Linked DNA regions of Arabidopsis thaliana. The protein of the gene in region 2 interacts with the protein of the main gene of each other region in a pairwise test. Each region holds a gene or a part of one and is shown on either strand. Other genes may lie near its edges.

Evidence for each region.
Region 1: the proteins of AT3G44785 (region 2) and AT2G33720 interact in a two-hybrid assay, tested with the Arabidopsis thaliana proteins (one large-scale study listed by BioGRID).

The regions. Positions count from the first base shown.
Region 1 is NC_003071.7:14,261,693-14,265,742, reverse strand, and holds AT2G33720 (AP2/B3-like transcriptional factor family protein), read right to left. Parts: upstream 2,012-4,050; 5' UTR 1,968-2,011; coding exon 1,656-1,967; intron 1,423-1,655; coding exon 754-1,422; 3' UTR 541-753; downstream 1-540. Other genes in the region: AT2G33730 (P-loop containing nucleoside triphosphate hydrolases superfamily protein), read left to right, coding at 1-64.
Region 2 is NC_003074.8:16,327,542-16,330,209, forward strand, and holds AT3G44785 (Zinc finger C-x8-C-x5-C-x3-H type family protein), read right to left. Parts: upstream 908-2,668; coding exon 680-907; downstream 1-679. Other genes in the region: AT3G44790 (TRAF-like family protein), read left to right, coding at 1,251-1,348, 1,454-1,602, 1,716-1,990, 2,272-2,668.

The DNA.
Region 1 (4,050 bases), on a different chromosome or scaffold from region 2:
ATTCAAACCAGGTACGGTTCCTGATAGACCCCCAAGACATAGTGACACTGTCTATATAAATTGAGTCGATAGGCTCTCTGGATTTGTTCTTAACTTTCCCAGTGACGTTTACCTTTTGGGATTGATCTCATGCGTGTGCTTAGTCGCATGTTTTATCTTTAAGATTCGTAGTTTGATAGTGAAGGAAGCAGTAGCAAGTGTAATAGTTGAAACTTGAGTACCTTTTTAAAACGATTTAGTACTGGTCTTGTTCAAGAAAAGTATCTTTGATTCTCTGCCTAATTTTTCCACATATATATCTCCTCTTTGTGTTTTAAATTGAAAATTGATGCTCGAGACGATGCTAAGCAAGAGACAACAATGCAATTTGGTTATGTGGAAAATGACTTCGCGAACTCGACCTTTCCTTTATCCTAAAACACTAAGAGAATGTGAAATATTCTTTTGTAATATCTAATGCCCCGTGGTGGATTTGTCTACAACTACTATGTTGCATTGTTATATGTGGGTTTGTAACAAATAACTCAACTACTTTTACTTATAATGAGAGCAGGATTCTTTATTAACACTTAAAACATATAAAAACCACATGAAACCATAAAAAACAACACCGGTATACTTAAAAAACAAAAACACATGAAACCAAAACACCGAGACAACAACAAAAAAACAGAAACAACACCAATCACTTGTTTGACGATTACATAAAGAAAATAAGAATCTCTCTGCAGAGCCTCCATAGCTAGTGAGGTCCTATGGACTTGGAGGAAGAGGAGCTGAATCCATTGTTTCGGAACGAGAAAGCACACAAAAATGAAGCTTAGATTCAGAACGATCCCAATACATTCCAATCACATCGCCAACCTGCAAACCTCTTCTGTCGACAAAGCACTTACGCCATCCGCTGACGAGAACAAAGCTTGAAGATTTGGCCCATTTCTTAAGAGCCAGATTGTGCACAGAGTCAGTGTCGTGATCATACACCTCGACTGCTAATCCAGAGTCTTCTTTGACCATCATTTGATCATCCAAAGGGAGATATCTCAGAATGTGGATGTCTACAAAGCTCGCCTTTAGAACAAGACGGTATAGGTTGCCAATACTGCTTTTGGTCATTGCCATCTTCAAGGTCCATGGGTCAGCGACGGTGAGGAGAGTTAGTTCTGTCGAGACGTAGTACTTCTCCTCTTCTTTTCTTGCTCTCTTCGACATAGTCCTCATCCACGCCAGGTTTATTGCTTCTTCGGACGTTGGTTTATTGTAAGCAACATTGGGATCATGTGGCCATGTTTTGTCATAGAAACACAGATCCAGGGAGACCAAACTCTCTTCAGCGTTTTCTGGTGACTCCGTGTCCAACAAGCAATGAGTATTTGAGACTGAGTTGGGAGCCATATCCAAGACTGAAGCAAAGTGAAAAACCTGACCAAAGGATCAAAACTCTTTTCTTTAGTCATATATTTTTTTTAGTAAATAAATGGTTTCTGAAAAGCGTTTCTTAAATTTTACATTTACAAATATTTTCATATTTTATGACTAAAAAAAAAAAATCAGATCGATATGAAATAATTTAAGAATATGTCCAGAACATCTATATTGATTCAAATATTAGGGATTCTCCTGTATATCTGGCCAAGATCGCTAGTGGTTAGTACCTTTTTGATGATCCACGGATCCTTGAAGAGTGTTAGTTCTGTTGAGACACCGTACCATTCGTCCTCTGCCTTTTCTTGATACGAGAGATTCCTCATTCGTGCAATCTTTCTTTCTACTTGTGTTAATTTGTAGTCTCTTGGTATGCAAGAAATATTGAGAACTTCGTCAGAGTTCATCTTCCTCTTATTAGGGTTTTCACAAGACGACAAAGAAAGAGTTGTGGAGACCAAACTCTTTTTAGAGTTTTCCGATGACTCGTCGTGGAACAAGTATTGAGTCTTCGACGCAGAAAAGGGAGGAGGCATCTTCATTGCCGAGGATTGGAGGTCTTGGGGTAATTTTTGCAGATTTTGGATCATTCTCGTTCGATTCTCAAGATGTCGTCGAGAGTTTCTTTATCTTAGACTCAAGTTCAGAGAGCTAAGGGAACGTAGATATATAAATAATTTAGTAGCCACCTTTGCCTTAACTTTTTCAGGTATTTTCCTGTTTAAAAAAGGAAATCCATTTGTTATAGAAAAAAGGAAAATGATTTATGTGAAAACTGAATATTACCTTTGTAGTTATTTTTATTCTGCGTTTGAACTATGAAGCTGTTAATTTTCCATTTCTTAGGGTTTGGGTTTCCTATGAAGATGAGTGTGCGTCTTAGACTTTTGGTGCCAACTATCTCTATTTGCGTGAATCAATGTTCAGATTTAATATGGTTTGTGTTATCATAAGAATTTTATTTCAATATAGATGGTCATTACTATGACAAGAGATATTCAACCTACATGGGCTAGCGAAGCCCACAACATAGCCCAATACAGCTAGTTTTCTTTTTAAAATGCAGTCATGCAGATATGTGTTCAATAAGTTCTGTTTTGTTTTAATGTGAACAAAGAGGGAGGATCGGAGCTTTTTCAACTTATAAGATTTTAAGTTGAATTTGTGAATTAATTGTGGTAAAGATCATTGCAAGAGTGATGAGGACCTACATGAGCATAGATCGTGTTCCGGACAAATCTGCCCGATTCAGAAATCAGAATCCTCATTGGTTAGGCGGACATATCACATATGTAAACGACTTTATCCATGACTAAGCTAGTGTAGGCGTGTAGCCACACAAAAAACTTAAGAATATTGTGGGGTTATTTTTGTAGTATTCATTACCATTTCCAAGAAGTATAGCTACCGATGATTTGTTCACTAGTATAGTGGCCGCTATTGTGTTGTCGTGGCCATGGATATTGACTTGGTAACTAATTTTGTAGCTGGTCACAACATAAAGTTTTGTAACAATTCATATACGTAACATGAATTGTCTCATAAACATACAATACCAATAGAGACTGTGGAAATGCCACCCTCACAAACTGTATATACAGATATGAACTGTTCTATAACTTGCTACATAAAGTACTAGTAAACCAATTGAACCCAAGCACAAGTTACTCCAAAACAATATACAAGTTACTCCGTAACTCAATCTCAGCAAGACGACATTTGCGCAGCTTCTCAAGACTGATGCAACCGTGTGGCTCCACTAAAGCTCTTTTATTGAATCTCATAAAATTCTCTTGTATATGTTCCCTTGTTTTTATACCTTTTTGGCAAAGTAGCAATTATATTTATAGGTCTAACTTCTTGTACGCCCCAACTTTCATTCCTTACTGATATTTACAATTTAGCAACAACAAAAAAAATAAACACAAACAAATATCGATCAAAGCGTTCTGACTAGATCATGTGGTTTAGATCAAAATTAAAGCACTATCGTAACTAAACATACGTAATTTATTATAGTATTACAATGTGTTCATCTAATTGAATAGATGGCATACTAAGTAAAAAAGATGAATGCAACAATCAATGTATATACATAATTCAATAAATACTTAATTAAAAGATATAAATACAAATATAACACTAGGTCAAAGTTGGCCAATAAGAATAATTCTTTTGTGGCAATCATATAGACTACGGCATGGTCTTATGCTATTGGTGTGAGATTGGAGTTGATTTGTTCGTGCGAAGTTTGCTCTGACTATAATATTCAATGTTGACCACATATTATGTAAGCCCATACGTCATCTAGGTCTTTAAATCAATATCTTATATGACACACTTTTAGATTCCCCATTCGGTCAAATGTTTTATTAATTTAGAAAGTAAGTTTATATTGTTTCAGGTTATGTTTTTGTTTGTTAAATATTGTGCTTTTTCTTCAACCACAAGTTTATATGATTGAAAAATAATTCATCAACATCATGCATGTAATGACAATATTTTTTTTGTTTTTGTGTTTCTGATAAGGCGCAATGACAATATTCAACCCCATAAAAAAATCCCTCAACCATTTTTAAAATGGCACGAATCGTCCAAATTGCTTATAATAGAAATATTAGATTA
Region 2 (2,668 bases):
TTCTCCTCTTACTCCTCCGTCCTCTCTTGCGGCGAGGACTATTGCTCCCGTATCTTCTGCTCCTGCTACGGCTCTCCCCATCATCATGACCATACTTCTACTGCGGTTATGCCTTTCATGAGAGCGATCTTCGTGACTATAATGCCTGTAAGGGCTCCTATACTTCCGCAATGGCTATGCCTGTTTTTGTATCTTCCATATAACTGCCTCCTCAATCCACTGTCAAGAGAGTCAGGTGGTTTTAGTACAACATAGGAAATCTATATGAACCACACATGACAAAAGAAGAAACATGTGACATGCTAATGCTTTTTACTGTTGAATTTTGGGATGATTTATGTACGAAGCTACTTGTCAACAGTACGAGGAAGATACTTGCAAACAAGTAGCTTCGTACATAAATCATTCCCAAAATTCAATCTCCTGAGGAAGAAAAAGTTACAAACCTCGAAATCTTTTTGCATACATCAACACCAGGAGTGATAATATCGGGACGTTGATTGATGATTTTGCTGCAGATCATGTACAAAGAAAGGCTTTATTTACTTGAACGATTATGCAATGAATGTTTTGAAGGATGTTCTGTTGTCCTCTGTTTTTTTTAGTTGTCGATGTTCTCTTTTCATCAGATTAATTAGGAATCGTTTTTATCACAACTAAGAAATGTAATTTTCTTAAGTTAAAATTTTTTTTTAGGGTCCTTCTCTCGTGATTGTACTGGGTCCAGAAATTGTTTGAGCCGGCCCTGCTGATACGTATTCGAAAGGAGAAGCGTTGGGCTGATACTTGGTTTGGTGTAGAGACGAGAGCATCGATCTCCGTTACGACAAACGCCGATTTTGAAGTAGAAAGGACAATTCACGCGATCTTTCTCCGTTCCGTATATTGACGCTAAGTGCTCGACCATCTTCCGATTGCTTTTTGAAGAACACGAAACTCTTTTCTTCTTCTTGGACTAGGGTAGGTCTCTCTCTGATACTTGCTATGCCTATGGATGTTTCAAGAGATTTAAGTTTATTTACCTTTTTACCCCTTCTGTTTTAACTATTTTCAATCCAACCACAAACTTATGTTAAATTTGGCCAAAATGCGATTGGGCTGAAGCCCATAATCTATATAAGTGAAGAAGACGAGCGCTGCAAGAACGGTTCGACACAACAGTGTCAGTGCTAGTGAACAGTCAGGTTATAGGGTTTCGTTGCTTTGGTCGTCCTTAACTTTAGGCTTTGATAGTTTGGTTGTGAAGTTCAATGGGGTATGAGAAGTTCACTTGGGTGATTAAGAATTTCTCATCTTTGCAATCTAAGTACATTAATTCTGATAAATTCGTTATCGGTGGCTGCAAATGGTAAGAAGAAGACAAGTTTGTTATATCTCTAATTTTGTTTTTTTGGTCCAACTTAGGGTTTATGAGAACATCTTTCCATTTTTTCTATGGTTTTTTTGCTTGCAGGTTTCTTAAGGGATATCAGAATGCTAATTATTTGTCTCTGTTTCTGATGGTTGCTACTTCAAAAACATTGCCTTGTGGATGGAGAAGATACACACGATTTCGCCTAACTGTTGTAAATCAACTTTCCGATGAACTTTCCCAACAACGAGGTGATTTCTATAAGGCTTTTGGACAAAGCAAAGTTCCTATTTTTGTGATTTATATTTCTGTCTGCTTGTGTTTGTTTTGAGTTAGATCAGTTCTATCTTTTCTTTGTCTATAGAAACGGAAACATGGTTTGACCAAAACGTTGTTCTCTCTGGGAATCGACACATGATTTCCCTTACCAAACTTAATGCGAAGAAAGGTGGATTTCTTGTGAACAATGAAGTCAAGATTGTTGTGGAGGTTGATGTTCTTCAAGTTATTGGCAAATTAGATGTTTCAGAGGGATCTCAAGAAGTAACTCAACCTCTGAAAAGGATAAGGCTAAACGATGATGGTGTTTCCGTAAAACAAAGCATTGATGTCAATGGGTTTCAGGTTCTTCCTTCACAGGTAACAAGTTCATAAAGATTCAAACTTTTTAGATGCTTTTCATTAGATAGGAGGAACTGATTTCAGATGCTTTTCAAACTTATAAGTCTTACCAGTTCCTTCTTTGTTGTTGCTGACTTTGGATTAGAGGTGGTCTCTTTTTCTGTTTAGAAATTATCAGTAGAACACTAAGACAATGTAGGGAATAAATGGCATCTTTATAATCTAACCATTCAGTTTGTGGATACGTATACAAACTATACATGAGTTTATACTTTATCCATCTTTTTTTACAATTGTAGGTGGAATCGGTGAAACGTATCTTTGAAAGACACCCAAACATGGCACTAGAGTTCCGAGCAAAGAACCAACATGTGAGGACATCATGTATGAATGTCCTCCTCAGCCTAATCGATACACTGTGCCAGTCACTGCAAGACATTTCCATTGATGACCTGGGCCAGGCAGAGAAAGCACTAAGATACCTGAAAGATTCGGACTTTAAGGTGGATTGGTTAGAGCGTAAATTGGAGGAAGTGAAGGAAAAGAAGATGGAAGAGCAGATTGGTAAGTCTCGGATGCAAGAACTAGAGGAAGAGCTGAAGATCTTCAAGCAGAAGTGCTCTGACATAGAAGCTCAACTGGAGAAAGAGAAGCAAAAGTGCTCAGACATAGAAGCTTTGCTGGAGAAAGAGAAGG